Oryzias latipes: one gene and its partner. The protein of the gene in region 2 purifies or fractionates together with the protein of the main gene of each other region. This does not show direct contact. Links are inferred from orthologs where the notes say so. Each region holds a gene or a part of one and is shown on either strand. Other genes may lie near its edges. The genes, in order: apba2 and clstn1.

Evidence for each region.
Region 1: the proteins of clstn1 (region 2) and apba2 purify together in Homo sapiens (affinity purification with western blotting; 3 studies listed by BioGRID and IntAct, with this or other methods). This does not show direct contact. The link is inferred for Oryzias latipes from reciprocal best matches to the Homo sapiens genes CLSTN1 and APBA2.

Annotation. Positions count from the first base shown.
Region 1 is NC_019861.2:18,690,047-18,693,866, reverse strand, and holds part of apba2 (amyloid-beta A4 precursor protein-binding family A member 2), read left to right. Parts: intron 1-1,958; coding exon 1,959-2,171; intron 2,172-2,284; coding exon 2,285-2,404; intron 2,405-2,553; coding exon 2,554-2,694; intron 2,695-3,820. UniProt on the Homo sapiens protein: Putative function in synaptic vesicle exocytosis by binding to STXBP1, an essential component of the synaptic vesicle exocytotic machinery. May modulate processing of the amyloid-beta precursor protein (APP) and hence formation of APP-beta.
Region 2 is NC_019865.2:9,963,486-9,968,072, forward strand, and holds the start of clstn1 (calsyntenin-1), read right to left. Parts: upstream 3,029-4,587; 5' UTR 2,849-3,028; coding exon 2,767-2,848; intron 1-2,766. UniProt on the Homo sapiens protein: Postsynaptic adhesion molecule that binds to presynaptic neurexins to mediate both excitatory and inhibitory synapse formation.

The DNA of each region.
Region 1 (3,820 bases), on a different chromosome or scaffold from region 2:
GAGATGGAGTTGGAAAGAAATTCAACACAAAAATACAATTAAATCTGTAAAAAAGGAGACTGTCACAATAAGCTATGTAAAATTATAATTTAGTTTTAACCAAAAAAAAATAATGTTTACAACCATTTCACAATCAGTATTCTGCAGGGTCTCAGCCTTTGTATTTTCAATCAATGCAAATTTATTTTATTTTCAGCTCTTTTAATAATGAGACTTCCTATTGAAGTGACATTTCCTTTCTATTATAGCTTTCCTTCTTGGCCGTCGGTTTTGATTTTATAAAAAGATTTTGGTCTAATTAAGCAGCTTATGCATATTTTGTATAATTTATACGCAATTTTTATGTAACTCTTACGCAATTGTGCGTGATTTTTGCAAGATGCATTCGAAAATTTGTGGCTTTCCGCGTATGTCTAACCATCTTACTACACATACATACCACAGATGTATAACTTTTAAATGCTGTATACGACGCAAATATGTTAAAATTACCTAATTGAGGCATGAATTTTGGGCCATATTTGGCTTTTACGTTGGGTTACGTGTTCTTTGCGTGGGTTATGTCTGTGATTTTAACGTGGTTCATTCATGATACATCTGCGAATAGCTTACTTAAAAACCACAACTTTTCTCATTTTTCCACATATATTTACATATGAGCAATTATGCATCCGTGCAATATGCGTAGAAGTGCGTAGTGGCTGTGGGACACTGCCTGAATTGGCCACTTCAAAGCAAAGTTTAAATTAAAGGGAAACAAAAAAGCCACTAAATGAGACACCGCCACAACAAGTGCAACCACAATTAGGGCAAGGATGATGTGACAAAACCCTCACAGGAAGCACAAATCAAAGCTCCATAAAAGGAACTATCCACAACAAAAATCTTCAGTAATGTTATTTCTTCTAATTTAATTCATTTCAACTAGTTACTGCACAAGCTAAAAAATTCTAAATTATAATAATTTACACTGGACAGGAGAATATCATTTGGGATTATTTCAATTTGTGGCCTTTTTTCAGCACTTTTTAAAAGAAATGGTGGTGTGTTACTAGTGTTAAACCTTAAATGAATCAGAAATAAAGCTAGAAAATCAATTGTGATTATGCTTAATGTTATTAGAGACATGTCTATTTTTCTCCCTGGAGCTGCAAGCTTAAAATACGGTGAATCTAGTTGCAGATGTGGCTACAACATCCTATATCCTGGAAGGTCTGTGTTTTATTTTCACCTTACTTCAGGCATACAGCTTAAAAATGGATGTACATTTTTAACATCCATGTAGGAGAAGGTGAGTCACTAAAAGCTTTTTTTCCAATTGAATAGCAAATTCTCTTTGCATGTTTATATTTAAATTTTTATGACTTTAAATTGTTGATTCTACAAGTTATTATTACTTATTAAACACCTTGAGTAAAATGGTTTTCAAATGTGCTCATGTCACTATATTCTTGTACAAGTTTGTAATTTTACTTTTTGTCAATTGTAAATTGTTGTTTGAATGCATGTTTTGCATTCATAGATAAATCCAGTGATGGTTACTTTCAGAGTAACAGAAACAACTTCAGCAAGTTTAGAAGATGAATTTGCCTTTGTTCATTAATGTAACATTTCTATAAATCCAGCGATTCACAGATACTGCAGCTGATTGATTTGCAGTTTTATACACCCTCAGACATTAATCCTTCCCTGTATGCTCTGCATTTCTAAATCTCTGACCAATGATAGATTGTTAAGCCTCGTGATTCCAGCTCTGCCCTGCAGTTATGTCATAGATTCCTGCTCCGATTTTGGAAATAAGCTGCAGGAACAATCATTTTTAAATTTAGAGTTTATATGTTATAAAAATGTGAGTTGCACATTGTTGTCCTACAGGTTTAAGTAATATTTCTGGTCTGAGCTGTAGCAGGGGACTCTATCTTCAAAATAAAAGTAAGCATCCAGCTGTTTGTCCCCAGTTGCAGCTAGAGAAGAGCAAAGGCGAGATCCTGGGGGTGGTGATCGTGGAGTCCGGCTGGGGCTCCATTCTGCCCACGGTCATCTTGGCCAACATGATGAACGGAGCGCCGGCTGCTCGCTCTGGCAAGCTCAGCATCGGAGACCAGATCATGTCCATCAACAACACCAGCCTCGTGGGGCTGCCACTCGCCACCTGTCAGGGAATCATTAAGGTGCAGAGAGAGAGAGGATGTGCAGTGTGCCTGCAGAGGGCTTTGAAGATTGTCTTCAGCAACATTTTCCGGTGAATTCCTGACATAGGTTGATGATGTGTGTCTCTTTAAAGGGCTTAAAGAACCAGGTGCAGGTAAAAATGAACATTGTCAGCTGTCCCCCTGTGACCACCGTCCTTATCAAGAGACCGGATCTGAAATATCAGCTGGGTTTCAGCGTCCAGAATGGCATTGTGAGGATATTTCACCTTTTAAAAATCTGCATTGAGCCAGACTTTCTGTCATTAACACCAGGAGTGTTTTTACCCCACTGACTGGTATTCAAGTGGATTCAGTTCCTACAGAATGACACAAGAACATTTTCTTTAAATTTCTTGAGCAGATATGCAGTTTGATGCGTGGAGGCATTGCAGAGCGAGGGGGGGTCCGCGTGGGTCACAGGATTATCGAGATCAACGGCCAGAGCGTGGTGGCCACAGCACACGAGAAGATTGTTCAGGCCCTCTCAAACTCCGTTGGCGAGGTTAGAGCGATCCTCACAAACCAAAATCCTCTTCCATTGGAAATTGGTTGTGTTGGAATTTCCTCATTACTTTCATGTTGTAAAGCTATCCAAATTCATAATTCCAAAATCCTGTGCCCTGGAAATTTCTCCAAAGTTTCTGCAAAAAAACAGTGTGTATTGATGCTCACTAAACTGGCAAATATGGACCACAGTGCATTGTGTTTGAGTGATTTTTCATTTAAAAAAATATTTTTTACAATTTTTTTATATCCATTATTTTTGTAAAGTTTTGATCATTAGAATTTATCATTAATAGTCCTTGTAAAATATTCATGTTTATTAGGTTTTTACTTTGGCAAATGGGTGATGTCGTATTTGCAATTTAAGAAATAAAAGAAGTTGTGAGCATGTGTTCAAGTTACGTTCAAATCCAGGGCACTATATAGTGTTTTAGTGGTTAGGGAGTAGTGAGGGCATTCAGACGTAGCCTAAGTGTTGGTATCCACACAAAAGCAGGAGGTATGCTAACCCCTGTTAAGCAGCTGATATGACTGTAATGACCCTTTAAAAAACGGTGCTAGGAAAATAAATCTAATTAAAGATTCATAGAATGGTATTGTAACTTTAATTTCAAATCAACCAATGAATTGGTTTAACAAATCACTGACAGAATAATCCATACATTTGGCATACCTACTTGTATTTTCTCTAATAAAAAGTAAAAAAAAAAGAAAAAAAAAATAATTCTTCTGGGACATTTTTCAGTAAAAATACTTGAATGTTTTCATCATCCACTATTTATCCAAAGAAAAAAAAAACCTAGAGACTGATTGTTCTGATCTGCACATTAGTGTAAACATCCAGAACCCAGCAGATGGAGTCACTGCTTCCACAGCTGGTTGGTGTCGATTTATCATGCAGCCTAACGATTAAACAGTAGCAGGTATGCTGGCTGGACTGGAAGGAGGTAAACTCACTCCTGCCCTGGAGCAAAAGAAGAAAATCCTGCATGCGTAGAAAGAGGATTAAGATTAAGATCAATTTGCAGTTTTTTTTATGTTTGGAAAAATTGAATGCAAATGTTCTATAAGGACTGAAAAGTGCAGTACGGGGTTACTTGTAAACACTTTCCGCACTGTTTAAT
Region 2 (4,587 bases):
GAATCGAACCTGCAATCGTACGATCATGGGTCGACCACTGCACACGCTCTCCTGTTAGTTTACAGCCCCTCACACCCTCAACCTAGCATTACTGGTTCTGCAAAAAATGGCGAGCAATATTGGAGCTATCCAACCGTACGATTTTGAGCCAGATGTAAGCTCCGAAAAGGAAAACATAGACATGTACAAGTGGATGCACTGGAATGGATAAGAACAGAAACCTTGTGCTCCACCTGCCATATTTCCTATGTCACAAATAAGCTCTTTTTTCCAAAACCATTTTTTTCATCTACTCCTGATTCACCTCAATTTGGATAAAGAAACACTCAGAAATGCAATTTCAAACTTCACTTTCTTATATATGTCCTCTAACATGAGAAAAATGCTACAAGAACACATTAAAAACACAAAATTCCTCAGAGAGGGTCTTTAAACCTGACCCGATGAAGGCAAGAAGGAACTGCAAAGATCATCAAATCTTGATGTAAACTTACGCCGAAGAGTTGAAACACAAGAAATATCATTCACCCTGCTTGGAAGAGGCAAATAACGCCTCACTGTCACTCAAGAGCAGCTTCAGTTCCTGACTTGCCATCAGGTCAAAAGAGGTCTACACAGTTCGGGGCAAGTTCGAAGGCTAAAAGAGTCTGATGATGAATTCTGCTCCACACAGCAAATGTGAGCCATCTGTAGTCCAGTCAAGGGCTCTCAAGGTCACTGATGGATTTTTTTTCTTTCACATGATCATTTCAAATTACAGTTTATTTTTCTTGATAAATGTTTGAGCTTTAAAACAGACTTTCTACTTGACATTAAAGGACACTAAAGCAAAACGACTTGATTGTAATAGAACAACATAGATTTTCAAGCCAAAGCAAAACACAGTTTCTGTTTGAATTAAAGTGTATTTTCTTGCATCAGCTAAGACAACAAAATGCATCAACTAGACCTGACGTCCTCATCTTTCCTGCCATTCTCATAAGCTGAACTGTGAGAAAACTGCTGGGTGTGACCCACAGTCTTCCCCAGCAGTCTTGGAAGAGTGCATATGTTAATTCAGCCCCACACAAAAGCAGGGCACCCAATTTGTTTGACTAGAATCAACTTAATTCAATGATGAATGAGCCGAGAAACTTCCCAGCCGCTGGTGCGTCCTTTGTCTGACGGCGTGCACACAAGAAGCTTGTGCATTTCACCAGACGTTAAACTTTACGCACAAACATGGGTGCACCCAGCAGCTGCTCCAGATAACCGGAAAACTTATTTACATTCATGAGACTGTGGAAATAAATGTTAAAAAATAAAAAATAAACAGAACAAGTGATGTTCCAAGTTCTCCTTAAAAGTATTTGAAGCACAAATACACTACTGAAGGCTTCAAGGACACGATAAAAAAGCTCGACTCTTTATCTTAACCTGCAGCAATGGCACCGAATTATTTTCAAAACATCGAAACTCCAGAACAAGAGCCGAGAGAAGAACTGAGTGTTCTCTCTCCTCATCTGCTGCCAGACGGACGGCTGGAAATTAAAAACAAGATTTGGTAGAATAAGGAAGGAAACAAGCAGGAAAGCTTCGGTTATGAAAACTGGAGTTGACGTCACATAATTCCTGATAAGAGCAGGTAAAACGGCGGCGGCTCCACTTTCGCCCTTGTGCAGACTTTTATGGCCACGTTTGGCTGTGCACTTTGCTCACGGGACATTAAAAAGGGTGTAACATCTGTAAACAAGCAACAACAAAGTGAATGTAACCCACTGGCTTGTGGCATACAAGGGTAATAGACTCGCCCTGTATGAAGCAGATGCCTCTCCTGGGCTCTGGATGGATTTGGGGGTAAAAAGTGTCTATAAACGTGTGCAGTGGGGGTGGGGGTGGGGGTGGGTGGGGGGTTATGACTGAGCAAGAACCTATGGGAGGACAGCTCTGCAGTAAATAAATAAGAGATGTCCATTTGCAAAACTAAAAACAGGTAGACAGACAAGCTATTTTTAACTGCATGGCCATAAATAGGCTCAGGTCCAGATTTTTATTTTTATATTTTATCTGAACACATAAGCAGATAAATATTGATGAAAATAACCATGTGAAGAGGATCTGCAATGCGCTTCATCCCCCTGAGTGTCCACAGGGTTTCCAAACACAAGGATTAGGCTGTTAAATGACAGATATATGTAGATTTACGACCTGAATAGGAAAACAGTGAAGGGTTAAAAAAAAAGCAAAAATAAAACATCTGCGTTCATTCCGATTACATAAAATAGCACAAAACAAGGGCAGATGAAATCTATTCACAAACTGCGGAGGGCGAGGCTCAATTCTTTATTTAAAAAAAAAAGGGGGGGTGTAATGTGAAGAAGCGACCAGAATAGACCCAAATAGACGCAGATGACAGACTAGGGGGTCGTTTTGTACCCTTGGTTTAACCCCCTTTGAAAACACGTTAACATTTTGTGCCAAACGTGACACGTGAATGAGAAATGTGGCTGGGAGACGTTTTTATGATGCCGGGCTTGGTAAGGACTCGCTGTCTGCCGCTGCTCCGCACTGACTGACTGACGGGGAGGACCATCCCTGAACAGGTTGAACAAGCATCCCTCGCGGCGCGGCGCGCGCGGGTGCTAATATTTTTCTGTCAGCCTTCGGGGTCTGGACAAACCCGGGGGGTTCTGGGTGGGGGTCGCTACCTTCACTTTCCAGCCTTTTAAAATCAGAAATGAGGTTGTCACACAAGACACGACGGGTTCCAAATCCCGGCTTAGTTACCTTTAGCTGCCTTCACCGCACATAATAGTCCGAGGACCAGTCCGACAGCGGATGCTAGCTGTTTATTCCCCAGGAACCGCATCCCGACCTCGAGTTAAACCTCAGCGAAGTCAAACGCAGCCTTCTCCCCGCGTATAGCTTCTCTGACAGGAAAAGTAGAAATCCTCCCCCAAAAAAGGTAGATGTCGGTGACCGCGGCAGCTCTAAGATGGCCGTCTTCACCACCGCCGCTCGGCTCTGCTTCAATCACTGCTTCTCTCGCAGTTTTGCAGCCTGTGACGTTCACGGACCGTTGGAAATCGGCCCGACACGTTTTAGCGCAATGAAGAAGACCAGTAGCTACGCATTTAAGAGTCGATTACGAGTGCTTAAAACAGACAACACCAGTCATTATGTCACAATAGAACAAGCTTATTATGATATCTTTCAAATTTATTATAATATGGTTGTTTATTGCGATTAAAAAAGCTACCTTGAGTCTTTGGCAACCAAACCTGAATTTCCACTCCAATTAAAAACTGGGGTATGACAACAATGCTGCAGTTAACTAACCCTATGGAGAGCAGAAAATCTTGGATTTTTCCAAGATTTATTAGCACACGAGCTGAAAACTACAAAAAATGGAAAAATACAAGACTGGGGTCCCAAACACATAAGATGTGACCATGACCATGAACAGATGCAAAATATAAAAACACATAAATAATACCAATATATTCTTGTACATCATCAAATCTGCAAATAACTGTAGTACTACCCTCTACATTGTACTCATATCCACCTCATATCAAAATACGTATTCAATTATTATTTATTTGTGTTAAAAAAAGTTAAATAAAGTCGAATCTGATCAAATCTAAAAATAAACAATGATAACATATTAACAACAATAACATGTAAAACAGAAAAATAATCCTAATTTTCCTAATTAAGACTTCTATGGCAGTTTTACACAAATGGAAGTAGCTTAAAAGGGTGACAGTAAACTAAAGTCAGATTTAGTAAAATAAAGTAAATATAGGTCAGGAAAAAAACTTCCTGTTACTCCTCATGTCTGGGAAGCCTTCAGGTGTCAGTGAGACAGCTGAGAAAATTAACATCTGTCCAGTTTGATAGAAGGACAGAGTCCAACTGTTGTGTTTGATGTCACAATTTATAGAATAGCTCTACAAAAACAGCCTTCCCTTGTTCACCAACAGGTCCACAATCTATTCCACTTTTTTCTTATTCCAGTAAAATGTTCTGTTACATGTGAATTTATGTAAAGGGTTCTTAATGCACATTTCATGACACATCATAAATAATGAAATGTCAGGGTGTTGCCAAGGACAGAATTTACATTCATATTCCTGTGCAAATCTTTTCAGAAAAGATTTACATGGATATCTAGGGGTACGCTATATATCTATTTATATGCACATCCCTCTCATTCACAAGTATGCATTTTAATCTATGAATACACATATCTTGAACTCACAGTATCATCTTAGGTTTGCTATTGCAAAACCATTTTTACAGGGCAAAATCTGTCAACTTTGAACTCAGAGTATAAAAATAAGTGTGTTTTTTTTATTGCAGTGAAAGATAAATTGGGACAATAAAAAAAATGCTATACCATTTATTTATTTCAGTTTTTGTGATATCAGGCCTGATGCACAAGTGGCCAGAGCTTAAGAGGAAGACATGAAGGCAGCATGATACTAGTGACGTCAGTACTGTTATTGTGGGAGCATGCAGCCTCTTTAACACAGAAGGCTGGAGGGGCTGGGAGCAAATGTCTATTGATGCTGTAAGGAAAATGAAAGCTCAACAAGAGATACA